4 linked regions of the Caenorhabditis elegans genome follow. The protein of the gene in region 3 interacts with the protein of the main gene of each other region in a pairwise test. Each region holds a gene or a part of one and is shown on either strand. Other genes may lie near its edges. The genes, in order: ztf-30, R06C1.6, gldi-8 and ztf-16.

Region 1 (5,803 bases), 4.0 Mb from region 3:
TCGTAGAGTCGTATCAATAATCAGCATCATTTCGATCTTACGTACGTGGAGTAACAAGGAACTGGAATTTTTTGCATGCCGGAGGAATAGGAAGATAAAAATGAAAGACTAGAAACATAGTCTGCTTGTCTGGTATTCCAAAGATCCCCTACCGTACCTAACTGTACTAAACTTACAGCACGGTTACCAAATCCATACAGTCCCGTAATACCACAGTATCTCAAATTATTATGTTTTTTTTAACTTTTAAACAGAATATGTATTGTATTTTGTATGTATTTTGAAAACTTGTTCAGACAAGTTCATCAAACATGTTAATAGCAATTTGAATTGATTTCATAACTCTGACAGCGTCGTCTGAAAATGTTTCTCAATACTATTTAATTTTTCTACCCCCATACTCTATTGTTTTAATTTTCCTAGATAAATTAACAATGCTCCAAATTCGTCAAGTTTTTTTTTCCTGAAATGGTCAAATTTTGACAGCAATGACAATGTTCAATGTGAGCACCTATCAGCACATCAACGAAACAACCCACAAAATAATGACAAAATTGCTATGAAAAATAATAATTTGATGAAAACTGACTTTGCGAAATTTGAGAATTTAGCTGAAACAGAGTTTAACATTAAAAAAAACAGAGCTCAGGATATTGGTAGAGGCTCATGACTAAATTTGGTATTTTTGGGTCGCTTTAAGTGAAAATGGACATCGATTTTTTGTTGGAATTAAAGAGCTAAGAAATGAGCTTTCTCAGATTTCAGTTACCATGGATATTTGGCAGAGGATTTATTTAGTTATTTGTTTATTCTGGATAAGAAATCCGTTTACGTCTTTTGTAAATGTATTTTTCAAAAAAAATTTTTTTTGAAAGAGTACCAAAAATTCTGGAACACACATTATTCAACTTTCTATACTGTTTTTTTACTTTCTTGACTTTCTCTGATCAGTTTCAGTTATTTCCTGGAAGAAACGTAGAATACAGCATTTAAATTTATATCAAGTATGTATTATTATTATATTACAATTATGTATATTCAACGTAAGCACTGAGAATTATGGAGATGGAGACACAGAAGGAACACAACGGATCGGATGATTTTGATTTGTTTGTTTAATATTTGTTTTGGAAATAAAAAGCAAAAAATCCCGCAAACAGGAAGAAATAAGTTAAAAAATATAGTTCTGAGATTGGTAAAAAATATTGCGAAAATTATGAGAAATCTCCAAAAATGAAACAATATTAACATGATAGTAAAGCTTGCGAAGTTTGAGGTTTCAGAGAAATTTGGAAAAAAGATAATTCTAAAAAGGACGTGTCAAAATTGTGTTATTTATGAGAATTCGAAGAAATGAATTCATTTCCGAGGCGTCGTGAGCTTTGTCATTTTGAAGAAATTTCACGGCAAGATTCTGAAAAAATAATTTTGAAATACTTCTTTCTGATCTGAAATCTTACCTGACACTCTAACAATTTCCTTTGGAATAGCTCATTGTGCTCACGGAGCGCGTGTGCTTCCATTCTCAATCTGAGCACAGTTTGTTCCAATCCATTCATTTGGGCATTTGCTTCTAAACTTTCTTGTTGCATCGTACCAATTTTGTGTTCCAACAGTTTGCATTTATTTTCAGAAATCAATATCTTTGTCCTGCTGACGTGGCAGTCGAAGCATTCATGACGTGGACTGATCCTTGAAGAAGAAGATGATGAGGATGGTGAAGCTGTATCAATCAATGGAGATGATATAAGAGCACGATCAGAACACAACTGATGGAATGCACTAAGATCAGACTTGAAGCTGACTGATGAGCAAGTTGGTGACTGTGAAGTATACACATCGGGCTTCTCCACTTCATCTTTTATTTTTTCTTTTGAATCTGCTACAAATATTGGTGCCGTAGCTGAAATATTATCATAAGCATTACAAATATTTTGTATGTAACTTACTAGGTATGGGTTTTGGAAGATTTGCAAGCCATGAAGGTGTCTGAGGTTGAGATCGAATAGGCGATTGAAGAGCAGGGATTGGGATGCTTGCAATTGGAAGAGAAGGTACTGATGATTCAAGGGATTGTGGGGTTGGTAGATTTAGAAGTGGAGTACGGATTACTGAAATCAATAATCTTTTTATGTTCATCTCATATCTGATAGTCTTACACTGGAATGGATCTGTAATGAGGTGGCAGCTTCTGTTGATAACTCCATGAGGAATGACACTATTATTATTGTTGTTGCTGTCATTGTTGTTAGTGGCAGTTTGTAGATGAATATGAAGAAGTGATTTATCAGGAAAAGCCCAATTACAGCAACGGCACATGTACATTCGAGAGATATGATGTTGCTTGAACATATGAGTACGAAGAGATTCACTACCTGCAAATTACAATAGTTTTTTATTATTATTCAAAGTCCCCAATTCAAATACAGTACTCCTATAAAGTTTGTCTACTTATCCCAAAGCCATTATTTGACCCCTTACAATTTCGCTCCAATCCTCCACTTTTTTCCCTTCTGCCCCCACTCTCATCCATTGCGCAACCTCATTCAATTGTCCCCGTTCTCGAAAAGTGAGAACTGTGTTTGCGTCTGCGTCTCCACTATTTCGTATTTCTCCGGATGACCTCAATCGTCCGGAGAATGAAGAAACAGTGAAAATTGAATGAGATCAAGAGGAATCTTTCTCCGGAGAGTGGATGGATAGTAAACAATAATTGTTCATACAGATGCTTATACCCGAACAACAATAAAAACGAGTTTCTTGCGGTGTTTCATGTGATAAACAATTCAGGTGTAAACAATATGCTTGTTCAAATATTATAGGTGGATGCTTTAAAATATAGCAGTGGTTTTGCACTGCACAATTTTGCTCTGCAAAATGTTCTACAGTATCCCTGCTAAACCCGGGAAATGAGGAGATCAAATCAAAAGATGTACTGGAGCTTAATACATTTTTGTAGCAAAAGCTCTCTGAGTCCCTGATCGAACAAGTTTTCATTCTATTTCATATTTTTGTCTCCAGCAGCTTTTCAGCTCAAATGTGCAGCTCATTCTTGTATCAAATGTCATGATTATCTTTCTTTCAATTTCGAAAAATCTGTGATTGAGGATTTTTCTTAATGCTCGGAAGATCACCTCATTGTCAATAAAAAATAAATAACTTCCGACTTACTTGAGATATCTTTTCGGCATACTGTGCATTTGTAGCTTTTGAAGTGAGCCTGCATACGGTGGCGGGAGAGACTTGAAGAATGACAGAAAACTTTTGAACAGATTGAGCAACGGAACGAACCTGAAATTCAGAATCATTATAAAAGTAAGAACCTAATCAGATTTGGTGGACTAATAACAATTCCCAGAACTTACAAACCTTTTAAATCGGGTCGTTTTAACTCAACACCACTTCCACCTTTGGATCCACTGATATCAGTTCCATTCTCAACCTCCACGTCACTACCGTAACCTTCCTCCTCTGTATTTGTGGGTGAATGAATTTTATCGTCTTCCAGCTTCATATCCATTTCAAGATGCATGATTTTGAGCTGAATCATGAAACATGAAGACACATGAAACAATACAAAGGCAGATAAAATGAGGAAGTAAAAAATCTGAAAATCGAATGAAAGAAAAGATGTGTGAGCTCATAGCATTTTGAGCACATAGGCACTTTTCAATGTGTGCAGGCAAAAGGCCATTATGATGACGGAGGAGGAAGAAGAAAGATGCAAAAAGTAATAAAAAAAGCTTAACTACAGGCATCCAGATCAATGACGCTGACGGTAAGAATGATCCATTCTCTTTTTAGTGTATGTCATGTAATCCCAAATCCAGATCATTTTACAAGAATGACTTGAATTTCTAAAATAGAATGTGCTGCAAGGATACGGTAGATTAACTCAGATAACGAATGAATCATTGCATTCAATGTTTTGGAGCAGCAGGAGCACGGGAATTTTATGAGAACGTGTGTGTGAGAAGCTTCAAATTTTAAAAGTAAATCGGAGGAGCTTGAAATCAGCAATCGTAGTATTATCTTTCAACATTATTGCCTGGTTTCGCGTACCTAATATATTTACAGAATTTTTGGGGCAACAGTTTCCAAGAATAACTTGTTTGGAGGCTTTTCCAAACTGTGACTCTTTGCTCCATTATTTAGAAGACGTTTTTTAATTTTGAACTCTTTCGTAGAAAAAAGAAGAACTTAGTGTGAACGTTGAGTAGCCAATAAATGGCAATTTGTCAGTATTCACTTATTTTAGGAGACTCTAAAAAGACAATCTCTGGAGTTTTTAGAAAACTCTAAAAAATGCTGGTCATGTTGGACTATTATTAGTGTATTCAAGTTTTGACATAGTCTCTTGTTTTGAAATTTATGAAATGGTTAAAACAGCTAGATTTAAAAATTTCATCAGCCATTGTTTGATCATCTGGGCAAATCTTAAAGCATAATCTTCTAATCTTTTTTGAGAGACCTGTTTTTAAAATCCAAAGAAAATCCTTCGAAGAAAGTTTATGGTTTGTACTTCAAAATCGTCGGACAAGTTGTTTCTAAGAAAGTGAAGCAAAAAAGGTTTAATGATGGATTTTGCATAAGAAAACTAAGTAGGTTTAAAGTTTAATCGCGGGGGAGTGTTTGCAAAAAAGGCACATCTTTAGGGACTTTTTTCTAGATTTAACAAATGAAAAAGCCGTGCAAATTTCAGTTTACTTGGTTCCCATATCCCAAAAAGAGACCATAAACATTAGATTAAAACTAGGCACTTGTAATAAGCCTAATGACGTGGCACCGAAATGTTGCAACCCGTGACTATGAACTATACAAGGTCAAACTGTCAATACACCTATCCTTTCCGCTAATTATCCATCGTCACCAAGACGGCTAAGACGGAAAAAAGATGAAGACGGACGGCAATGGATTGAAGGGAATAAGACGAAAGTGTCAATACGCAAAGACTAGGTCAAACCGGAGAAGATGAGAAAGTATAGAAGAATAAGAGATACAGACTAGAGGAATGACGTAAGGTTTCCAGGAGAAGCTAGGTGAGATGAAGTGGAAGTAAAGAATTTGGAAAAAAAATGTGCTAGAATTGGGGAGAAAATCTCAATAAATTGTAAGCATGTGAAGGCAGTGGGGAATGGGTTCTGAATTATTTCGAACACATAAGCTCCGGCAGTTGGGTTGCTACTTGTTAAAATACATCCTTAAAATTAGCAGAAGGAAACATTTCCATTTCAGAGTGATAGAAGTTCACAAACTACTAATTTGGAACTTTCCTTTTTCTGGAAAAAAGTTGACACCTCTGAAATGACACCATATTCACTAGTGTTCCTGAAAAGTTTTCCGTATTAGTTTTCATTAACAGCAAAAAAAAGTTGGCCCGAATGAAAAAAAATAGGCGGATACTCGGATGGTATATCCTGCCCATCGACAAGATGATCCTTGCTTCAATTGGTTTTAAGCCGCTTCCCAGATTTGATGAGCGAATTTGGCGATGAGCCGTGACGACGCGTACAGCCTCATTTGTGCAGGATCGAAAAAGCATCAGTTTTCGAGATAAGGCAAGACATGTGGAAAAAATGTTTTCTGACGCAATTGAGTTAAAAAGGGCGGGGCTATGGCTATGTGTACCGAAGTGTTGAGTACGTCAAATTTTTTGAAGTAAGTTCCTTTAGAATTTTAGATAAAGTTGAAGTTTGGTGGGAAGATCTGATAATAGTTTCTTTTTATACCACAATGTAATCAATATAAAAACATACATCGTTTTCCTATTTTACCTGGTTCAGTAGTCTGGAAGTTCCATGCC
Region 2 (8,733 bases), on a different chromosome or scaffold from region 3:
CAAAAAATCGTTAAAAAAACCAAATTCCGAGAATTTTTTATTTTAAAAAAATATCAAATTTTGCCCGATTTTCTCTTAAAAAATTTGAAAAAATTGAAAAAATATTTTTTTTCTATTTTTACATATTTTTCTGAAGCAAAAACAATTTCCGGATTTTTTTAATTTCTAAAAAATTTTAAAAAAACCGAAAAAAAATTGAATAATTTCGAGTTTTCTAAAAAAAATCGAAATTTTTCGATTTTCCAAAAAAAAATTTTTTATGATTTAATTTACATTTATTAATATTATTAAGATTAAAAATATGATAATTTTTCAAGCATCGGGGGTGAATAACAATTATCGGATTAAGAAGAGATTTTATGCATCACAAGCTGTATTTGCGGGCCGAGAGAGAGTGAGAGACGGAGACAAGACAACTACAGTAGACTAGTTTAAAGGAACATCATTGGGGAGTTACTGTAGTGATACAAATTTGAGATTTTCAAAGAAATTTCCAGACCAAAAAACAAGAGAGATCTTCGAGCTGAAAATGAGAGGAAGACTTGGAGGAAAAATGAATTTTTTTTGAAAAAAATTTATTGCTGAGCGACGTCTGGAATTGCGACGCGCATTTTGTACAAAAAGTTGAGAATTGATTCGTAGAGTTGTGGAGATTGACGAGATTCCAGGCCGTCGGCAAGGCATTTGACTGAAAAATTGAAAAAATTGGGAGGTTTTTCACTGGAAAATTCGAATTTCCCGCCATCGGATTGTTTTGCAAGCGCGCTCTATTGAACTCGTGGGCGTGCGGCGGGAAATTCGAATTTTAGACACTTTTAAAACCGAAAAATTCAAATTTCCAGTAAACGCGCTCTATTGAACTTCGCCAGGCGGTCGCCGAATATTTGAAAATTCTGGAATTTTCCATTGAAAAATTCAAATTTCCCGCTGTAAGTGTACTTTGCAAGCGCGCTCTATTAGACTTTGCGACTAAAACGGGGAATTCAAAAATTCCACGAATTTTCCGCAAAAAAGTGGAAAATTAGCAAAAATTGGAATTTCCCGCCACAAAATATTGCAATTGCGCTCCAATTGACTTTGAAAGTTTTCAGTGAACATTTTATTTTTAGTTTCTAATTTTATGGCCCAACAAAATCAACATTAAACTGGGAAGTTCGAAATTTTGTGGGTTTTTCAAACGCGCTCTACCGAACTCACGGTCGGCGAGAATTTCAAAAATTATCTCGGAAAATATTGATTTTTGGCTTTTTCACGTGGTGCCGCGCTGTCCCATCACGGTTTGATCTACAAAAATGCGGGAATTTTTTGTCCAAACAAATGTGACGTCAGCACGTTCTTAATCATTAACATCAGTCGAAAACTCTGCGTCTCTTCTCCCGCATTTTTTTTAGATCTACGTAGATCAAGCCGACATGCGACACTCTGACACCACGTGAACAAATTGTTCAACAAAATCACGGTGGAGCGCGATTGCGACCGATGTTCTGAGAATGAATTTTGGCGCGAGAATCTGAAATCTGGCTGGTGGGAAATTCAAAAAAGAAGCAGAAGTCAAACGCGCCCCACTGTACTTACACTGTCTCTCCAACTCGATCCGTTCTCCAGGCGTTGCCGGTTGCCGGGCGGCAATGATCTTCTTGACGGCTTTCTTCGGCACCTGATTCTTCGCAACTCTGGCATACAACTCCGAGACTTCAGCAGTTAATTGACGATAGACATGTCGACAATAGACACGATGAGAAGCCATTAGAACTGCACGAACACACATCTCAAATTCCTCGACCAAAGATCTGTCGAACGGGCGGGCCGGCGGAGTGATTCCGCTGATTTGATAAGGAAGCGCTTCCTCGGGGGTTTGAGTTCCGAGGCGAAGGTTCGGAGCACTTTGTTGATGTTGAAGGAAGCGGGTGTGATGGGGAAGATGATGGTGGTGGGCTCCCATGACGTGACCGTTTATTATAGTTGACTTGAAGTCTTGGGACTGAAAAATCTTGAAATTCTAAGTACTGGGTAAGTTGGAAGTTTTTTGATATCTCATATGATAGGGGGATATGGAGGTTTGAGGTTGCGACCCCTTAAGCCTAAGCCTAAGCCTAAACCTAAACTTGAGCCTAAACCTAAACCTAAGCCTAAGCCTCAGCCCAAGCCTAAGCCAAACCGTGAGCCTGAGTCTAAGCCCAATAATAAGCCTAAGTCTAAGCCGAAGCCCAATAATAGGCCTAAGCCTACGCCTAAGCCTAAGCTCCGCCAAAGCCTAAGCCTAAGCTTAAGCATAAAGCTGAAAAATGATAGAGCAGAAAATTTGGAAAATTTTCAATGTCTCTAATAGCAGTCGAGATATTCGGGATAAAAGCTGCACGGAGACGCAGACAGACAGAGCGTCCTCTCTCTCTCTAGAGCTCCATCTTCAAGGCTTTATATCTCTGCTGCTGTTAAAGCTAGAAATACGCGGCAAGAGGCAAAAATTATCAGCGGAAAATTTTGCGTCGAATGAAATATAAATCCTACCACTGGCGAATGCATAGAAACCGGTGGCGACGATGTCAACGAGTTCTGCTGCTGAAGTTGTGGATGCATCGGGGAATTCATTTGAGACGTCATGTATGGCGACATATTCGGATATCCATGATTTGGTGGAGAGTTCCGCTGACCCTGATTATTCTGTGAATACTTTGAGAGTGGTGGAGATGACTTTTGGCTCGCCGGGTTATAGTTGGAAGATCCCGGGGATCCGAGGTCTGGGAAACCGGACGGGGATGGTCCTCCGAATGGGTTTTTCGGGTTGAAGCTGGAGTTGGTGGAGTCTCCGAGGATGTCGTCTACCTCATCGGCGGTCATTTCCAGGGCCAACTCGCTTTTGCTGAAAGTTATGGAAATTGAATAATGTGAGCAGATTGTAGTCGACTTTTCTCCGGCTTACAGAGGTATTTTACAGAATTTTGATAATTTTTACAATGCTCAGTGATGCTTAGACAGGTCTGCTTGGAGCTTTTTGGAAACTTTAATTTTTTGCGAAAAAGCTTCAAAAGTGTTTTCCTACTTTAAACTACCATTAAAATTATTAGGACCTACGAAAAGAGCCCGCTTACCGTTTCTTGAGCTTCTTGTTTATCGAAACCGGAGCCGAGTCACTCAGTGCTGTCGGTTGATCTTCGTTGTCTTCCTGCTTGATATTGGCGTTCATCGTCCCATTGAGCATATTCGCAGCTTCTATTCGGATTTCTTCAAAGAGCACCGAGATTTTTGCGTGCTTCTCGCGTTCGCTGTAAATTTTCTCATTTTCTCGACTTTAATTCGGAATACAATTTTAATGTTAACCAAAATTATAGAAAAAGGAATTTAGAGGATTTCCTCAATTTGAAAATTTTTAATATCTCTTACCACCGCAGAGATTCAGGCGTTTGAAAATGGATGGCTAGAGAGTGAGAGGGGAAGAGAGACGCAGAGATGCAGAGCGTCTGGTTGTCTGCCTCTTTCTCTCTCGTATGCAGTGTGGGCTTAATGCTATTCCAAAAGCCTCAGCCTAAGCCTGAGCTTGAGCCTAAGCCTAAGCCGAAGCTTAAGCTTAAGCCTAAGCCTAAGCCTAATAGTAAGCCTAAAGCCTAAGCCAAAACCCAAGCCCTTAAACCTAAGCCTAGTCCAAAAATAATCAGCATGAAATTCTCTTCAAATTCAAAAATAGCTTGGCTGCTGGGAATCGATTCCAACTAATCTAAAGGGGCTTCTAAGAGGTAAAGCCGTATTTTTCCGAGCACCATGTGACTTGGTGGCTCAGATGCGAATATTATGTGTAGTTGGTCAGAAAACTAGAATCTGGTTGGATTTATACGAGAAAAGCCAGGACCTATAAGAAATACAAAAATACAAAGCTATGGGGCTCCAAAATGTGCAAGTATATCAAACTTCAGGTGACAGAATAAACATTGTCAAACTTTAGCCTATAGAGATTCCCAGACCCCTCTTTGTCACGCGATTTCACGTGATTTTGCCAACTTTCTCACACCTACAACGCCCTTTTCCAAATTATCAGTTATTCATTGCCAGGGGCAACCGGACAGCTTTAGCCTATTATTTTCAATGTGCAAGTATAGCTGAGAGGGTGTCTGAGGGAATGTAGGAAACTTGGGAACTTTGTTGTCAAAAAATACAAAAAAAACTTACTCCCAGGGTGTGTGGAGTATATTTAGAAGCCTAGAAATTTGTTTTTTTTTCAGTCGGGAAGGCTTGAGAATGACGACGACACTTTGGCGTGCACTTGAGAGTTAAGAAGGCAAAATTTGAAAAAATAGGCCGATGTGTGTGCATTCAACATTTTTTTATATAAAAATTATTGTTGTGAAAAAGTTTCTGACAAAGTTTAAATCACTTCCTGGGCGGGATAAAATTTCTAAGATTTTTTAGAATATATTTTTTCTAATTTCGAAAAATTCCAAAATTTTTTTTCAGAAATCTGTTACTTTTAAATTGTTATGTATAAAAAACTACATTTCAACCTGATTTATGAAACCTAAATATCTGAATTCTAACATTTAAATTGAAGATTTTCAACTGAAAATTGAAATTTTTTAAAGAAAAAACCATTCATTATCCTGGAAAAAAAATTTAAATTCACTTGTAAATTCGCCAAAAACATTTTTAATTTATCGAAATTCGACGTTCTTAAAAATTCCAATAATGAAGCATAAGCCTAAGCCTATGCCTAAGCCTAAGCCTACGCCTAAATGTAAGACTAAGCCTAAGCATGAGCTTAAGCCTACGCCTAAGCTTAACCTATTCCTAAGCCTAAGACTAAACCTAAGACTAAGCCTGAGCCTATTCCTAAGCCTTAGCCTAAACCTAAACTTAAGCCTAAGACTAAACCTAATAAGCCTAGATATAAGCCTGAGCCAAAGCCTAATTTCCAATATTGAGCAACCAACTTTTAACAAACCCCTCTAAATTCCAATGAGTTTTATGAGTTTTTCTGCTCACAATCAGTTGGGTGGCACCAAAACATGTATCTAATTAACACCCATTCACCTCCCCAGTTCCCATCGAAATCATTAATACAAGAAGCACATACTTTTCCTCTTCACTCATCACTCTCGACTGCCCTGCGGAATGATAGCCTGGGAGATGATGAAGCTGTTGCTCATGTTGTTGTTGCTGCTGTGCTTTGGCCAACGGAAGCGGTGTTGACGTCACGTATGCTGTGGGAAGATCGTTGGATATTCTGGAAATGGAAATAATGTTGTTTTATTGAGTTTTATTGATTATGAGTTTTATATTTAATTTGTTTAATATAAAAATTGTCTTTAGAGGAATTTTTGAGACCGCCGTCACGTACTCTCACTGTCTACGCTCTCTCCCCAGTGGTGAGAGATATTTAAAAGTTGTTAACTAACAAAATATAGAAAAATATTAGCTTAACATTTTACTAGTTGACAACTTTTTTGTATTTCTAACCATTAAAGAGTTATGACAGTTTGAAAATATTAAGCGTCACGGATGAGTTGGGTAAGAGGTGCTCTCACTGTCTGCGCTCTATCTTTACAGGGGTAAGAGCTATCAAAAAGTTGTCAAGAGACAAATTGTAGAAAAATTTAAGCTTTACATTTTGTTAGTTAACAACTTTTTTGTAACTGTAATCCTGGCGGAAATATTGAAGCTCCACAATTACAAAAATTTGGTGCAGAAAAATATTTTTTTAAATCTAATTTCGGTAGAACTGTCATACATAACTCAAAAACTAAAAACCTTTTAAACTGAAAAAATGCTCAATACAACATTTGCCACATGTTTGTAGTTGAAAACTTTCTTCTAAGTCGACCCTGAACGAAGTTATAGCGGCAGACACTTCGCGGGCCAAAATTCAGCAATAGGAAAACCGTGAGGTGTCGGCCGCTATAACTTTTTTCAGAGATTAATCAGAAAACTGGTTAAACTGGAAAAATGTAGCTTATGTAAAACTAAATATTTTTGTAATTCTACACTTAGCTCCAACTAAACTTTGAAAATAGTCAAAGCAGCCGACACCTCACTGGACAAAATTCGAAAATCGGGAAAACCCGTGAGGTGTCTGTCGCCGCTGAATCTTATCCAGGGATGATTTGGAGAAAAGTTTTAAACAAAAAAAAATGTTTTCCATAATATTCTCTACATTTTTGTACTCGAATACTTTTTTCTAAATCAACCCTAAACAGCGTTACAGCCGCCAACACCTCATGGGTCAAATTTGTTGAATTTTGAAATTTGAAATATGAACCGTGAGGTGTCGGCCGCTCACAACTTTTCATTATTTTTCACTTACCCTCTTCCAAAACTCATGGCTTCTGCTCCGTGCTCATTTCCCCCGTTTAACATCATGGGCGGTCCGACGGCTTGCTGTTGCGATAAACTTTCAATGGATATCATTAGGAGCCCAAGTACTAAAAAAAGTTCATGTTAATTAGAGCCTATATAGAGACGAAAAGACAGCAACAAAGATTAGAAATTCAAATAAGAAAAAAAAATAGACAGAAAATATGGGAAACCCTATGGAGGGAAACAAGTTTTTTTGTGGCAAGGCACCGCCGGGCCTCAAACTTTAAGATTTCTTTCACGGCTTCTGTTAGAATGATTTTGAATTGACGTTTCTAGATAAAGTTGGCAACAATCTAAATATACGCTTTTAATTAGCAGCCGACACTTCACAGGCCTAGAAAATAATTTTCAAAGATGGGCTCGCAAAATGTCGGCTGCTTGATTTTTTTAAATTTTGTGATATGATCATGTTAAGCATGAAAATTGCTACAATTTGTTAGTTGACCACTATTTTTTGGTATCACGTTGAAAAAAGTTGCGGCAGCTGACATCTCACGGGCACAAAAATGAATGTGGGCCCGCGAGGTGTCGGCCGCTTTAGTTTGTTTCAAAATTTTGGTCATTTTAAGCATAAAAATTGCTACAATTCATTAGTTCAGTATCAATTTTTTCACCGCTACTCTGAAAAAAGTTACAGCAGCCGACACCTCACTGGGCTAATAGTCAGAAAACCCGTTATCAAAAATGTACCCGCGAGATGTCGGCCGCAATTCATTTTTTAGAAAACACTTTACAGTGGACTTCATAAATACGAAAGTTTATTTATTTTTTAATTCTAAAAATGCAAAAAGCGGCCGGCACTTCACGAGTCTAAAAATCTGATATTCAAATATGGTCCCGCAAGATGTCGGCCGCCAAACTTTTTCTTTTGACATGTAGAAAATTTTATGTGGAAATTGTGTTATTGAGCATATAAAAAAGTACAAGAAAATGAAATTTTGCCTCCAATAAATCTTATATAACAAAAACTGGGCAAGAAAAAAAAACTCAGAGCTCCGCGAGCAACAAGGCAAAAGGGGCAGAGAAAAGGAGCAGTGATAAGCTCTCAGTTGAGCAACTGATCTCTTTTGGAGAGGGAAAATGGGCGGAGCCACCAGCGAGAGCTCACATGTGCTCGCGGAGCTTCCGAATATGTTTTGATGACGTCTTGATTATCATCATCTCTTTGTGGAGAATATTTGGAAAATAAAATAAAAATAAGGGAGAATAAATAAAGTTTCCCATTTTGGGGAAATTTTTTTTATTAAACTGTTTCAAATTTCCGTTTTTTTTTTCGAATTTTTTTTTTGCCGGAAATTAGCAATTTCTGGTGCGATGTGGGTGAAAACGTATTACAGCAAAAGATTAATAAAAAATGACTCATTTTTACGAGAAAACTAGAAAAATTGAACGGTAGAAAAATCGACATACAGTGCCGGCCAAAAACATATCCCATTTTCGATTTTTGATAAATTTACAAATTTTACAAACGAGCACAACTTTAAAACTAGAAATGTTATCGAAAAAAGTTTAACTGATGAAGTATTGCCCATGATTTCGTCTACTTGTATTCAATTGTTAAAATTTTTTACCAGTGCCAGGACAAAAAATACAGCGGCCGACATCTCGTGAGCTCATTTTTGACAACGTTTACTGATTCGGCCGTATCTCGAAAACGAAATTTTTTCTGCAAATGTTGTTAGAGTAAAATAATCTTCATACTATTTGTCATCGTTTGTGCCTATTCACTTTGTTCTCAAAAATCCTACAAAAAAGTTATGGGAGTGCAAACTTGAATAGTGTACGGCCACGCCTCGAACATTTCTCGCAAACGATGAATTTTTTTCCTGAATCTTGATATTGTGTTTGAATATAGCTTAATTGTAATTTTACATGTGTTATTTCTAGAAAATGCTCGAAAAAAATATTTTGAACTAAGTAGCCTGATTTTTGGGTGTAGTGGGTAGGTGGCACCTAGTGAGCGACAAGTTTGCAATCCCATAACTTTTTTGCTGGATTTTTCAGAACAAAGTGAATAGACACAAACGATGACAAATAGTCTGAAGACTATTTTCCTATAACAACATTTCCTGAAACAATTTAGTTTTCGAGATACGGCCAAATCAGTAAAAGTTGTCAAAAACGGGCTCACGAGATGTCGGCCGTTGTATTTTTTGTCGTTACACTGGTAAACAACTTAAACAATTGAATACAAGTAGACGAAATCATGAGCAATACTTCATCAGTTAAACTTTTCTCGATAAGTTTTCAAGTTTTAAAGTTTTGCTCGTTTGGAAAATTTGTAAATTTACCAAAAAACGAAAACGGGATATGTTTTTGGCCGGCACTGTAACTCAAAAAGTAGAATATTTATCAAAAAATTTTGACTACGAAAATGTTAAGTTTATTATT
Region 3 (6,199 bases):
AACTACCTAAATCGAGTTGAAAACGCAAGATAATTGACATTTATACCCAAAATTTGACTGTGGTTTTAAAAAAGTTAGTTTCCAGCCGCTGCGACAAGTCAAATTTCCAATTTTAACTATTTTAGGCCATTTTTTGAGCCATCATAACTTTTTTTTGAGAAGTTTTTAAGAAGTTTCATCATGAAATTCGGTGTTTTCAGACAATTTTGAGTCTAATAAAGTAATTTTAAAAAATTCGACAGACACCACCTTTATAGCAATTTTGAATTTTTTTTTAAACTTGTCTTGAAAAATCTTGAAAAAAGTCGAATAAATTCCCATTTTCCTATTTTCTTTTTTGCAGATGTGCGGAACGGTGTCGGACTCAGATGATTGGAGAGAGCCGAGTGGATCACCATCAGAATCGAATTCATCAACCGAATGGGGTGGCTATACGCCACAAGAACAGCATGCAGTTGTTGTTGCCAACGCGGTAGCTGTCGCTTTCAAGGAAAAATTGATGAATGGCGTGGATGATGATGATGATCAACAACCATCGCCGGCTAGAGGAGCACGAGATCATTCCATCAAAGAGTTCGTTAGTTTTTCTTTGCTTTTTTTTTTTTTGATTTTTGAGAGCAAATTTGAAAAGTTTTACACGGTTTTTGAAAAACTGTTGAAATTAAAATTTGTTGAGAATTTGATTTCGAGCAAGTTTTATTTTTAAAAAATTGAATTTTTCAGAAAATTCTGAGTTTTCTTTTTAAAAAATTGAAATTTTCAGAAAATTCTGAGTAGCAAGAATCTTTAAGATCCTTAATTTCTATGCAAGAATACGTAGGAGTTTTACTTTGCTCAGGAAATTTTATTTTTTGTCAGAGGAGTATATCCGAAAAAGAACAAAAAAAATGCACATTTCTCAAAACGCGTATTTTTTTTTCAGTTCGATGTCAACGGTAACACTGCTGGAACGGAAAAAGTTCATGATGCCGTCGACAATCGGTCTATAATTTGAACTCTCTGCTGCTGCTTCTGCTACTGCTGCTACTGCTGCTCATCGCCAATTTTCAATCCTCCTGAGATTTTTTGATGGTCATTCATTGTTTTGTGCATATCTCTCTCTCTCTCTCTCTCTCCCATGATTCTCAAATATTTCAATGTATTTACACCCCCACTCTGTCCGCTGCCTAATCCCCGACCGAATAATCAGATTCGCTGGAAAAATCTGCGATTCTTTAATATTGCAACCACCCACCCAATAATATGTGTCTCATCATCTCGGTACTCTCACTTGAGCCGTGTTTTCTGTAGTATTTTATTCTCTAAAAAAAAATCATTTTTAATATAATATACGTACACATTTATATCTGTAATATATATTTTTAAAAATGATTCCCCCCTCCCCTCCATTCGTTGTTTTTTTTCTGTGGGTTTCAAGCTTTTGAGCTGTGAAAAATCTCATCCCATCATCATTTTCTATTGTTTTTTTTCACAGTTGAAATATCCTATTTTATCTTTTTCCTTTTTTTTTCATTTTTTTTTTTTCATCGTGCGGGATTCATTTTTCGTCCCGCGAAACGCCCGCCGCCGCCCAATCCCACTCTCTCTCTCAGTCTCTTCTTAATGATCTTCGAAACTATTTTTATTTCCCTCATTAACAATTACGAGGTCGTCTTTTTTTTTCCCCACCCCCCACTGTTTGGTGTAATTTTTGTGTTCGGGGAGGTTTTTTGTGTGTGGATTTTTGGATTTTTTGGATTTTTTCAACAAAAAATTCCCCCGAAATCAAAATTTTTTCCCATTTTCCCCTCAATATTAGTACTGTTGTATAAATAAACTTGCTCTCTCTCTCTCTCTCGAAATCTCCTACTATTATTTTTTTAAAAGATTTTTCCAACAAAAATTCAAAAAACCACACAAACGACCTCTCTGCACGCGGTAATCCTCTCTCTTTTTGTCCCCCATTTTCTCTGTTTCTCTTTTTTTCTATCCCCTATACCTGTGATTGGAATATCCCATTTTTCCAGCAACAAACCAGCAAAAACAAAAAAAAAAAACTTGAAGAATTTCAAAAAAAAAATGACAAAAAAATCATAAAAATCAAAAGAACCTACATTTTTGTTGCATTTTATAGACACACACACGCACACACACAAGCAAACAGACATAAAAATTCAAATTTTTCGAAAAATTAAAAAAAAAAAAAAATTTCCCTCCCAAGGCCACCTGGGCGCCAAAAAGATAGTGGGTGGCCATGAAAAGTGCAATACTTTTTTGAAATAAAAAATAGTGTGAATATCGGAGAGACGCAGAGAAGAAAGGTCGAAAAAGTGAAAAAAGAAGAATTCTTTGTTCCCTTTCGTTTTTCCAATCCAATTGAATAGGACTTTGAGATTACTGTAGTCCAAAACTAAGGTCCCCGGGGGTCTCGACACGAAAATTGTTTTTGTTAAATGCGGAAAAAGGTATGCGCCTTTAAGGAGTACTGTAGTTTCAAAAAATTTGGTTTTTTCTCCAAAAACAGTTTTAAAAAAATCGAATTTTTTTCTTTCTCCAGTCTAAAAATGTGTTTTTAAAGGTGCACAATATTTTTCAGATGGGTATCGGCGCGCAAAAAAAGTTAATGGTAATAGTTTCTTCAAAATTATATGCGGTTTTCAGAGAAATTTTGAGTTTTTCTTTTAATTATATCAAATATTTGGACGAAAATTTAAAGGATTAATGCACAGATCCATTTTTTCTTCCTTTTTTTACTAGAAAAACTATGTAAAATTTTTTTTTTAAATCGCAATTTTCTCCAGGTATACGGTAAGCAAGTCCGCAAACACCGAAGCATTGCTGCACGCGTCGCACGACCGCGACGCGTCTCCCCCCTCTTTCGTCACGCGCTCATCGATTTTCGAAGTGAACACACAACCAGTTTCGTCAATTTTCTGCGCTATTTCTTCATTTTTAATGGAGATTTACGATTATCCAATGTCGTACGCTGATTTAACTCCTGTGACAAGCTGCTCATCATCGTCAAATTCTGAAGCGGACGCTAACAACTTTTCAACGGTTATCCTTTATTAAAAAATGTCAAATTTCTTTAAAAATGGCTTTTTTTTCGATCAAATCTTGTGTTTTTTCGGCAAACACTATTCGAAGCCATTGGGTGTGTCAGTGACAATGTTTATCCTCGAACAAAAATGTAATTAAACCAATTAAACCAACCAAAAAAACTAAACTCAAACTTGGGAAAATTAAACCTACTCAGATGCTTTATGCTGAGGTCTTCTCACTACCGCCGACCAATTTTACTTATTTTTTTATTTTCAGAAGAACAAAAATGTCAATGAATTCCAAAAACTCATTGAAGAATTGGAATTTGAGCCGGAAGACCGAAGAGTTCCCGAGGTAGCTGAAGAAGTTGAATCCGAAGACGAGGAAGAGGAAGATGTCCAAATCAAGTATCCTTACGAACGGAAAGACGCTTATCAAGACCTCCAAGAAAGGATCGAGCGCAGGCTAAACGATTCTGGAGATGAGAAGCTTGAGCAGAAGGCGAAGGTAAGATTATTTTTTTTTAATTTGCAACTGAAACTTTTTATTCCAGGAACTTCAATCGCTTATCCGAATGAGCCAATCACAATGGAAAGTCGAGCAAAAGCAACAGCTGGAAGATTCTCTGTTGAAGCCACACACTGCTGGATCGATTTTCACTTGCGTTATGTGCTCGAAAGCATTCCCGAACGCTGAAGCTCTCCAGATTCACACTGATCAAGTGCATGATTTGTCTAGATTAAAGCATCGTTGTAAGCTGTGCGGAAAAGCTTATAAGCGCAAGAAGAACCTTGATGCTCATATGGCCCTCCATCTCAAGGAAATCCAATGCGACAACTGCTCACTGGTCTTTCAATCTGAAAAATCGTTGCAAAGTCACATAATCCGGCATCATCAAGAGGATGCGGATGAACTTGAAGTATGGAAGGCGCCGTGCTCGATTTGCAAGGAGCTATTCCCATCAACATCTGTCAAAACTCACGAATGGTACTGCAAGAATAGGGAGAAAATTATTGAAAAACAGCGAGTATCGAAGATTCTGAAAGTACAAAGTTTGCCGTCAAGCCCAGCTCTTTCCACCGTCAGTTATGCATCATTCTCAAGCTGTCAGCCTGGGCCAATCACAAGCCCAGTCTCCTATAGGGATAAATCGTGTCAAGTGTGTGGAGAGAGCTTCGCGAGCCGACAATCAATGCTCCGGCATGTTGGTAGAAAACATCCAGATGCCAAGAACGATCCAAATGTCACGGCTGTGAGATACATTAGCGCTGAATCGGTAAGGATAAGAATTTAAAGGTGGACTACGCTCAGTGGGGAAATTGCTTTAAAACACGACTATGGTACCACAATGACCGAATATCATGATAAAAAATTCTAGATTTTATATTATTTTTTGAAAATTGAAAAAATCTCGAATTGCATCAAATTCCCATTTAAACCTCCCGCCAAGTGATTTTATCGATGGAGCGCGCTTGCTCGTTTTTATTTTAATTTATTGTTATTTTTTCTTATTTTTCGCCGATTTTTCATGTTTTCAGTGTAATTTTATGAGAAATTTGAAGAAAAAGTCAAAATAATGCAAATTCTCGATTAAAAATCAACTTTGCAAGCGTAAAAACGAAGAAGTACCACTTTTAAACGATTTGGAGCCAGTAGTATTTGATTTCACAGATTTACGCTTGTAAAGTTGATTTTTAATCGAGAATTTGCATTATTTTGGCTTTTTCTTCAAATTTCTCATAAAAATACACTGAAAACATGAAAAATCGGCGAAAAATAAGAAAAAATAACAATAAATTAAAATAAAAACGAGCAAGCGCGCTCCATCGATAAAATCACTTGGCGGGAAGTTTAAATGGGAAATTGATGCAATTCGAGATTTTTTTTCAATTTTCAAAAAATCATATAAAATTTTTAATTTTTTTTTTGAATTTTTTTTATCATGATATTCGGTCATTGTGACCCCATAGGCATGTTTTAAAGCAATTTCCCCACTGTCGCTACTCCACCTTTAATGAATGAAAATTTAAAATTAATGAATTAAAATTTAAAATTTTCAGCCCAAGCATCCATATGCTTGCATTGAATGCGGAAAACGATTCACAACGGTCACCGCTTTGTCAACACACAAGGCTCGTGTTCATTCACAATCCAATCGCTTTGAATGCACAATTTGCCACAAATCCTATCCGGTTCCATCAGAATTGAGGAAGCACATCAAAAGAGTTCATGAGAAGGATGCGCCCAAATCTCGATCAGCATTGGAAGAATTACCGGAAATGGACGATATTTTCTAAATTTCTCTAGATTCAAATGTTCAAGATTTTGCTGTAATTTTCCCACCTCCCCCCCCCCCTTTATTTTCAAAATACCGGTCCGAACGGGTTCCAACCGAGTTTACTAGATATTCATGTAGAGATTTCAACACAATAAATGAATTAAAATGCGTGAAGCCTATTCCTCTGCAAATTAATTCCAGCCAGCGGATTTCAAGCTTGATGACATTGAAAAATATTGGGTAGTTGTCTCACCGAGAACAGGCCTAGTTTTACGAACAGGCTTAATATTAGGATTAGGCTTTGGCTTAGAATTAGGCTTAGGCTTGATTTCAGGCTTTGACTAAAGCTTAGGTTTGGGCTTAGGCTTGTGCTTTGGCTTAGGCTTTGGTTTTGGCTTTTTTTTTTTTTTGGCTTAGCTAACGCTCCCCCACTGACGCTATGTAGAGATTTTTCATATATTTTATTAAAATCAGGGCTTCGCCCCGATTTTAATAAAATATATGAAACCCTCTTAAAAAGTTACAAGAAGGTTTTTCCTTGCGCTTGGAGCGCAAAAGAAAAGAAAAAGAGCTATTTAGACTTAGGGTGCCCAACTGGAATAAAATATAGGAAATCCTTATGACACACCGGCGGTATGGCGCGGCTTAAGCCTAAATAGCCACTTTTATCAAAATACATTTGAGCGAGGCGGCTGTAAACTATTCGTTCTTTAGCAAAAATTAAAAAAAAAACTTTATTTAAATTTAAAAATAAATATCATATGTTATCACACCTTAGAATATCACGCCTTAATTTAGTAATCATTTTTACTTCATAAATGTGAGAGAAAGAAAAATGGATTAATCATCGGAATTAAATATCATCAGAGTGATTATATTCATCAAAGGTCCCACTCTACT
Region 4 (8,783 bases), on a different chromosome or scaffold from region 3:
ACAGCGGGATGTCAGCACAAAGGACATTAATTGAAATGTATGGAAAACTGAACAACGGCGTTGAAACATTGCGGGAAAATGAGATTCAGCAAGTGCAGTTTGTCAATTGAAGCTCAAACTTTGAAAAAGGAATGTAACGTTAAAACTTAAAAGTGAAGTAATGTATAATCAAAAAAAAAAAGTTTTATGATTTTCAAATTGTTCTATTTTCAAGTTTCTGTTCTTTCTGGGAATTTCCGTCGAAGATTGTTTTTTTATTTGTCGAAGATTGTTTTCCTATTGTTTTTTTTTGGAAAAAATTGAAAAAATTGAAAAAAAAAAGCAAACTTTGGAAAATTTTAAAACAATTTTTTACACTTCCGTCTTTGAGATTAAAAAATTTAATTAAAAAAAATAGTAATTCCTGGAAATTATCAAACTGAATATTCATAAAACGATATTTTAAAAAGCACCGGAATTTTTGTTTTTATTGTTTTCTGAATTTTTAAAATTCATAAAATGTAAAAATGTAACATTTGTTTATAGTTCAAAAAATATATTCAACAAAATTTTTTGAAAATTTTTTGTGCATAAAATTGTGAGGAAAAAATTGCAAAATTTCAGAATCCAGCAAGCTAATTTTTCATTCATCAAATTATGTGAATAAACATGAATTTTTAGGTTTAATGCGAAATTGTAAAAAAAATATGGCAAAAACTGGAAACTTCGCCAACCGTGTTTCTCAATCATGTTCTGTCAGATAACTGACGAAAGGCACCTGCAATTTGTGTTGTGATAGTTCTACTTTTTATCAATCTGCTAACAAATATAGATGCAGTTTGAAATAAAACAACAACCCATAAATAGTTCAAATGTCCTTACAAATGGCTATAAATAAAACTGATCTAGTAGTCGCTAATCTTGACAAAAATATGAGAAAGAGAGCCACTATTGTTGGTCCTGCAGAGCACAATGTTGATGCATTGGGTTCTTGGCAAGTCCCCGTGGGACACTGCCCAACTGAACCGGATTGTCCGTAGTGAGCAGCACACGACTCATAACCATATACGCTGGGCCAATGTCAATCACAGACTGCCTGCCAATCCATTTAGCCGTTTTCCTAGCCACCATGACTTTTTTCTAGTATTCTATTCTCCAGTATGTTTTCAACAAAATTTATTTTGAAATGGGAAGAAAATTGATGGGACAGTGGGACAGAGAGAAAGCTTGATAAAATTACTATTCTAATCGGAAAGAAATGTTTGGGATGGGTGGAACAGATAAGGAGGCCTTCAAAAATTCTGAATATCAGTTGAAGTTCACTAGTTTAAAATACATTCGAAGAAATCATTGAAATTGTACAAATTTTGATGAGGGGTGGTGGTGAGAAAGGAAAATAAAACACTAACAACAAAAACCTAACAATGCAAGGTTACGGAAAAAATTAACGGGTCCAAAATGACTTTTGACACGTGTGCAAATGAATTGAAACAAGATAGAGAGCAGAATCAGGAGAAGATGAAGAAAGTTTTTAAAAATGTAAATAATGATATTTGATGGTTTAATATTGATGAGAAATAGACAAAAACACGGGGCAAATACTTTTGATAGAGACAAAGAGCTGTTGAGAATCAATGAGAAGAAGCAGAATCATTCGTTGTTTCCCTGTTATGAAGAAAGAAAGTGACAAATAAAGAGGTAATCAGAATTGACTGTGAATATGCATCGAAAAAAACCGAAGAAAACCGAAAAAAAAAACAAAAATTAAAATGTGGATGAAAGAATGGGGGTGTTTTGGATTCGCTAGACTGACTACTAAAACTGAAAGGCAATCGGGGGGATATTTCTTGGATGATGGTGAATTCAGGCGGAAGTCGTTGCTTGAGTACTATGATCGGCAAAAATGACATGAGTAGTGAACATGTACTTCTCGCCGCACTGAGTTCCGCACAATGCGCATTTGAAAGGATCACCGTCCGAGTGAAGACTTTTATGGAGCAGGTACATTGTGTTGTCGTAGAACATCATTCCGCAATGACAGCATTCCTAAAATAATTCTAGAGTTAGATGCCATTAAATGAGTAACGGTTATGAGTGTTTTGAGTATATATACAGAAAGCGCACGAATTAACGAGCTTTGCAATGAAGTTTCTAACAGAAACTTTTTAAAAAGTTTTTTTTAATCGAAATTTGAATTTTTGAAAAAACCTGCCAAATTCTAGCTAAAAACTGCAGCAGTCCGAACTTTTTTTTGAATGGTATCAGCTGCTGCGAACCGGAAAAGGCAAAGGCCGGGCTTTTAGCTAAAATTAACTCTTTTTTTTTGAAATTTTTTGAGAAGTCTCATTGCAAAATGTTCAAAATACCTAAAACCTATAGTTTTCCTTTAAATTCAAATTTCGGAAGAGAAAGTTGATAGTTCTGATAAGGTGGGTGATGTAGAGAATCCATCATCCTTCAGATTTCAAAGAAAACTTGTGACATCTACGAGAAATTGAAAACCTCCTCATCAAACTATACATGGTGTAATGTTCGGTTTTTCTATCTCTTTTTTTAGATTTTTTCTCAAATGAGAACGTTCCGAAAGTTGCAACAAATTGGCAATCATTTAATCAGTCTATGTTTTTAAGGTTGATAAAACCAAATTTTGGCATCAACAAAGAAATGGATCAAAAGTCCCAATTTTTGGAAAAAAAAACTCTGTTGACGATGCTCACAATTCTAATTGCACTTCGAAAAAAGGTAAACAAAATGGTGACATTTTCAATAACAAGTTGTTATTAGCGATAACACATACCACATTCTCCTCGTCTTCTTTTTCGGGAGTCGGTGATTTCTCTTTTTCAGTTAACGAAAGTGATGACTCATTGGCTGGCGGCGAGTGCGACTGTTCACTCGGACTTGGAGCACTGACACTCACAGAGCTTGACGTCTGCTCTGACCAGAGTTGCACCTGATCCTGCTTCACAATCGCTGCCACTGCTGGAATGTTGTGAAGAGCCTGAAATGCAAAGGTTAATTAGCGAAAGTGTGAAGGTTTCATTGATACCGGCAATGGAATATTTGGAATGTTGAGCATTGGTCTTGGGATGTTTTCTCCGAATCCATTGAACTGGTTCATTTGGTTTAGACACATCAACAAAATATCTGGGTTAGCCATAGGGAAGCTTGGTGGCTGAAAATAAAACCATGGAATCATGGAAATGCTTTTTATTCAAAAAGAAACGAAAGAAAGATTCTTACAATTTTGTCGAATTCAGAACTTGTGGAGTTATCGGAGGTGTCGGTGTTTGGAGGGCTAAACTCTGATTTCACCATTCTTTGCAACTGTTCTGTTATGCTCATGTTCGCAGGATCCATTGGCAAAGCATTTCCATTCGACAGCTTCTTCCTTTTTGGCGTGTTTTCTTTTTTCGGAGAAGACTGAAAATCAGAATGAGAAATAAGAGTTCACGTTCAGGATATCACATGATGAGAGAGATTCCACGGAAAGTGCGTCTCTTGGGGCAACCGAATTAAGCTCCGAGAACGAGAAAAACATCACCTAATAAGGCTCAGGTTCTGCTCGCTAATCATGTGTTACGTTTCCGTGTAATCTGAAGTTACATCTCTTACCTCAGAATCGTCATGTCTTGTCTGGAAATGAAGGAGAAGACGTCGCGAATTGGCGAACATCAAATTACATCGCTTACATGACGCGGGATTTGTTGACGAAATTGTGTGCGTTTCTTCCAAGTGTGCTCGGAGTGCATTGTGCTGACTAAACTGCATGTTACATTGTGATACTGGACAGTCGAAACCAAAACCCGTTTTGATATGTGTCATTGAATGCTCTTGCATCTGAAAGTTATAGGTTTATTTTAAGTTACATGTTTAAAACATGACTACGGTATGTTTTTAACATCTAAAAATCGGTTTTCACTTTCACACAATATTACAATTTACAATTTTCTCTGGTTTTCTCCTCGCCCCGCAACCTTTGTCTTTCATTATAAAAACCCCTTTTGATGCGAGCGAGGGTGATGGCTTTCAACTTTTCGGGAACCAATCAGAGACGCAGCTAGAACAAAAAAAAAACCGCCGACGGTTGGTATTTCTTCTTTTTTTTACTGATTGGCCCTGGGGGTAAGGTACACAGTAAAGAGCGGCAAAAATATGGAGACATCGAGAAGATGCTAGAAGGTAGGATGGGAGGTAGGATCTTCCGAAGAAAATGCGCGTGCTATCGTCAAGGTCTTTTACTTCTCATCTTCACCAACGTCGTCGGATAGTATGAAGAATCGGAGAAGAAAGACGCGCCAACCGTTTTCATATTCGACGGCATAACCTGACACCAATACCGTCAAATTGGTTCCCCCCGATTTTCCTGTTTTCTTCAGGCTCGTCGACCTTCAAGAACGGTTTTGGGCAAACAGATATCATCAGAGCGCTTGAAGAAATGGTTGATGGGCACTGCGGCAGTTCCCTGCCATCCATGGAAGAGACTCTTCTTATTTCCGGGAAAGTGAAAATATCCAAATTGAAAACGACCTTCAGGCGGCAATCCGCCGCCTCCTTCTTCCCTCAATTTCCCTTTCCTTACGGGAGATCAGTTTCACTTTCCATTTGATTACGTAAATTGAAGATAAAACACGATTTTTGAGTTACGGAAGGCGGCAGCGGCTTCTTACGCAACAGCCGTTAAATGGTGGGGCTAGGAGGTGGAGGGTAATAAAAAATATGCCAGACAAGCATACCTGATCTTTCCTGAAAAATCGTTTTTTGCAAAAACGACACTCGTATGGCTTCACACCGCTGTGGCGCATCCGATGACGATGCATGTTAGCCTGAAAACGCAACATTGATAAACCACAGGAAGAAAGTGAAAAGGGAATCAAAGAAGAAGATCAATCAGCACGATAACCATACTTGGAAAATCCAAATGATTCAAAAGTTGTCGAGTGTTTGAAAACCAGATTCCGATTCAGAAAATGTTTTAAAAATTGCTCACCTTCTGGCTGAACTGCATTTTACAGATGTCGCATTGGTACATTTGGCCTTGATGGCGTTCATGCGCTTCCTGAAATGTTCAAGAATCTTCACTGGTATGTCATGTGATTTCTAAGGTCATCACGTTTTTTGTACTGCCCCCGTATCTGGTCTTCCCGTTTCTTTTTCCAAAAACGCCTCTTTTTCCTCCCATCTTCTTCCACCCATCCCAATCTCTACCGCTTGATGTCACTACATAACCGAAAAAGGGAAAATCTATGTTTTTTTTGGTTTGGTTTCTCGGAAGATTCTGCCTTAACCAATTAGTATGACACCGGCTCACATGAAAGGCAACATCCTTAAGAAGAAAAGCCAATATATGAGGAGCCTGCCTCCTTCTCCCATACCACTCCACTACTACTCATCCCGATGACCGTTCGGGAAGTGATGGGATTGGCCGTCGGAACAAAAAACAGTAGGGTCAAGTGAGAGACGCAGTTAACTGGACAGTAGATAGAAAGTAAACAGTAGTTTGTGAGAAAAGCGGCATGGAGCGAGTGGGAGAAGAGAAAAGGTTCACGGAGTGTTGACTTACAGGACCCACCTTACAAGGAATTGATGAAAAGTGGAAAAGAGGGAAATTGAAAAGACTTTCATATCCATCAACAGATTTACATGCTAAAATTAATTTGTACCCTTGGGAACATGCGTAATAATGTACTGAAAGTATCTTTCACTCTTCCGTCACCTATAGAACAAGAGAATGCTTTCAAGAAAACGGGTAAAAATCCTTGAACCTACCAAGTGGCTTTTCATGTGTTGCGACATACAAGTGGTGAAATTACAGTGCGGGCAAACGTGAACCGTCTTTTGTCCTTTGGTGCCTGGTTCTTCTGAAATTTTTAGGTTTCACAATTGCATATTGGTACTTGGTAATTAACCATCAATAGAAATACATTCCAGTGTGTAAGAAAATGCAATTCAAAGAAAACTTACTTTTGATGAGAGTGTTTGTGATTTCTGTTATCGAAATGTGATGTTCAAGATGTTCATCCGAGTCCGGACTCGGCGTTGGATCTGAAGGGGGCGTGGACCGTGGCGACGGCGTGGACGACTGAATACCATCTCCCCACTCGATTGTCTGAAAAGCCTTGGTCTCAATGTTTCTAACGAGTCTCAGGGGGCATGTCTGGAAGACGTGTTACAACGTCACATCCAACATCCCTCCCCTCTTCATTTTTTCCACGTTCTGTTGTTCCCTCACATATCTTCTCTACCTCTGGCACTAATTAGGCAAATATGGCATTATGACGCAACCTTTTTTCTATATCTCTCACTCACACGCTCTCACTCTTCTGGATGAATTTTACTCTCCCATAACATACCTGCGAGTTAGACATTTCTCCGCTTGAAGACCTGCTGTGCTCGTTTTCGTGCTTCTCTGCAAAAAAAAAGTATTAGGGGGTAATGTTGCTAAATGTGAAACGCAATAGAAGCGGGTTAGTTAATGGGTTGAAGCGCTCACTAAACCGCTACAAATCCGAATTTTTACGGGTTTGTCTCCGTTCTAAGATGAAAAAAAGATGGACAAAGCGCGGGTAGGTGGATGTTTCAAACGAATTGGCATTCATGTATCACCGAACAGGTTGGTTACCTATATGTCCTTGAAACTCGGAAAATACAGTAGTCGTGAATCCGCATTCTGTGCAAGCGTTCAGTTCATCCATTGTTGAGATCACTGAAATGATAACCATAGCAAAATGAAAAACCCTGACAGGGAATATCTGGTAATGAGACGAAAATGGGCGACAAAAAGAAGAACAACGAGGAAAAATAGGGGAAAAAAGCGAGGAATATGGCACGACGAGACTTGCACACAATAATCAGGTGTGTTTACGGATGGCAGAAGATAAGAAAGGAAATGTATAGGAAATGGTAACAGGCGGATATAGGAATATATGGGAAAATTGGAAAATGGAAATACTAAGAGTGACTGGAAAAATATGTATTATCGGAGCGAAAAAAGCGGAGGAGGGGGAAAAGGAGGAGCCGGATCCATAGGTATGATCACATTGACAAGCATTTACAACGGCTCGCCAAATTACTGGTTACGCGCCTGGATACGAATTTGGGGAGTAGGCAGTAATTTATGGATAGCCAGCTTCTTTAGCAACCACTGCGAGTTGGACTTGTTATGAGTGTGTTTGATTTAGCGAGAGCCTGGTCCACGGTTTTGAGAGCAGCTAGGTGACCTCGCCTAGTTGTTTGTCGTCTCGCGGCGGCGGAGGCGAAGAAGGACCGAGATACGGTTTCCGGGTTTGGCCAAACATCTCAACCCGATGCCTCCCCGTGTACTCCATAAGCTGCTTCTCCGGATTTGACTTGCACTCATAGCGACGAGCTACTGTGTGCTTACTATATTTGTAAGAGAAGTGGTAAAGTGTGTATTCGCTGGGCAGTAGGTATCTTACGGACCTTTACGAGGAGCAATAAGAAAAAAAAGTTGATGAACATTAAAAAAAACAGGAGGAACTAATATGGATTAATTATCGCATCCAGACATGGTGTGTAAGATACGAAACATCAAAACATATATACTATTACACAAAATTTGCATCATAAACACGAAAAAGAGATTTGATGGATTGGGTGGATAGGGTAAAAATGTTATAAAATGAAAATTTTCAATGATCAAAATCTGAAACCAGCACAAAAATAAGATTCAGGAACCTGAGAAAAAAGAACAGGATCTCAAGGAAGGCAAAGTAATGCCAGGTGGATTATAGCACAATTATGTTGATGATTGCATGGCTGTGTGTCTATACTGGATTACTGTCAATTGCGCGTAACCACCACTACAAGTTCGAGACTAGCAGGAAGGTGGTCTAGATGGACAGATGGTGCTAACAGGTAATTGAGATGGGTGAAGTGACTGGAGAGCAAACTCGCATCTAGTATGACGTTACGTTTGCGGAGGAGAACGGTAAGATTGCGATACATAAATCTAGGTTCTATGTTTTAGGTTCTAGGATAGGAAGAGAAATTTGGGGTGTGAGGAATGGTGGGGAGCAAATATGGAGTGAAGGAATCTCTGGGGGTGGGGCACCGCAGGCATTGGATACGGTAGAACTAAAAGTGCAAAAGCTGGCAAACTGATATGGGGCGGATTACACCTGGGGGTGGCAGGGCGGAAAAACGACTTTACGCGGATGGCAATGAAAAAATGAGATGGCGGGGATCGAGGGGGGGAGGAGGTGACGGTTTCTGAATGGCATTTACAAGAAGAGAGAAAGGGGGTGAGATAGTGCGTGTGTCGCGGGGTGCCAAACAAGCTTTTTTGGGAATACGATGAAGAAAAAAGAAGAAAAACGATGTAGAAGAAGAAACTGTCGATGGCAGCAGCAGCGGCAGTGGCGGCAGGCAGCAACGGGCATCATCTCTATCTGTCGCCCGGGGGCGCAAGATGTAAAGAAAAAATCGAGCTGCGCGCACCTCATCAGAAAAACGCAGCGCCCACCCCCACACACACACACACACTCACACCGTTTCGTTCGGAAGAAAGAGAATGAAAAAATTGGAGAGAAGGCACTGGGGGAGAGGGGATGCCGTTGCGGGTGGCCTAGAAGGTCGGCAAGGTTAAAGTGAAGACGACGGGATCTTTTCAGACCATACTAGCTGCAGCAGGGAGACTTCCTCCCTCTCCGCACTATGTCTCCTCCTTACGATGGAGAAAAAAACCCGGTTTTTTGTGGCAGTGAGAAGAGCGTCTGGAACATAGTAATGACCTTCCAATAGATAAGGCATGTGGAATTACAATTGGATGAACATTTGGGAAA

What was found.
Region 1: the proteins of gldi-8 (region 3) and ztf-30 interact in a two-hybrid assay, tested with the Caenorhabditis elegans proteins (one large-scale study listed by BioGRID).
Region 2: the proteins of gldi-8 (region 3) and R06C1.6 interact in a two-hybrid assay, tested with the Caenorhabditis elegans proteins (one large-scale study listed by BioGRID).
Region 4: the proteins of gldi-8 (region 3) and ztf-16 interact in a two-hybrid assay, tested with the Caenorhabditis elegans proteins (one large-scale study listed by BioGRID).

What each region holds. Positions count from the first base shown.
Region 1 is NC_003281.10:8,594,330-8,600,132, forward strand, and holds ztf-30 (Zinc finger transcription factor family protein 30), read right to left. Parts: upstream 3,542-5,803; 5' UTR 3,515-3,541; coding exon 3,370-3,514; intron 3,292-3,369; coding exon 3,172-3,291; intron 2,376-3,171; coding exon 2,160-2,375; intron 2,112-2,159; coding exon 1,950-2,111; intron 1,904-1,949; coding exon 1,461-1,903; intron 1,415-1,460; coding exon 1,307-1,414; 3' UTR 981-1,306; downstream 1-980.
Region 2 is NC_003279.8:11,944,675-11,953,407, reverse strand, and holds R06C1.6 (uncharacterized protein), read right to left. Parts: upstream 6,408-8,733; 5' UTR 6,394-6,407; coding exon 6,290-6,393; intron 5,436-6,289; exon of another isoform or gene 5,375-5,435; intron 5,213-5,374; coding exon 5,063-5,212; intron 3,587-5,062; exon of another isoform or gene 3,514-3,586; intron 3,264-3,513; coding exon 3,090-3,263; intron 2,861-3,089; coding exon 2,509-2,860; intron 1,982-2,508; coding exon 1,576-1,981; intron 1,419-1,575; exon of another isoform or gene 1,194-1,418; intron 689-1,193; coding exon 576-688; 3' UTR 263-575; downstream 1-262.
Region 3 is NC_003281.10:12,595,264-12,601,462, reverse strand, and holds gldi-8 (C2H2-type domain-containing protein), read left to right. Parts: upstream 1-2,778; 5' UTR 2,779-2,934; coding exon 2,935-3,036; exon of another isoform or gene 3,037-3,297; coding exon 3,298-3,528; intron 3,529-3,574; coding exon 3,575-4,297; intron 4,298-5,081; coding exon 5,082-5,318; 3' UTR 5,319-5,469; downstream 5,470-6,199. Other genes in the region: epc-1 (Enhancer of polycomb-like protein), read left to right, coding at 344-573, 923-989.
Region 4 is NC_003284.9:4,804,852-4,813,634, forward strand, and holds ztf-16 (Zinc finger protein ztf-16), read right to left. Parts: upstream 6,690-8,783; 5' UTR 6,675-6,689; coding exon 6,602-6,674; intron 6,389-6,601; coding exon 6,333-6,388; intron 6,089-6,332; coding exon 5,944-6,088; intron 5,841-5,943; coding exon 5,749-5,840; intron 5,395-5,748; exon of another isoform or gene 5,257-5,394; intron 5,039-5,256; coding exon 4,970-5,038; intron 4,806-4,969; coding exon 4,716-4,805; intron 4,654-4,715; exon of another isoform or gene 4,513-4,653; intron 3,820-4,512; coding exon 3,595-3,819; intron 3,403-3,594; coding exon 3,223-3,402; intron 3,155-3,222; coding exon 3,029-3,154; intron 2,981-3,028; coding exon 2,777-2,980; coding exon of another isoform or gene 2,693-2,776; intron 2,026-2,692; coding exon 1,843-2,025; 3' UTR 1,147-1,842; downstream 1-1,146. UniProt on the Caenorhabditis elegans protein: Positively regulates the expression of ver-1 in the amphid sheath glia of amphid sensory neurons. Together with ehn-3, plays a role in somatic gonad development and is required for proper gonadal primordium assembly and somatic gonad precursor cell morphology.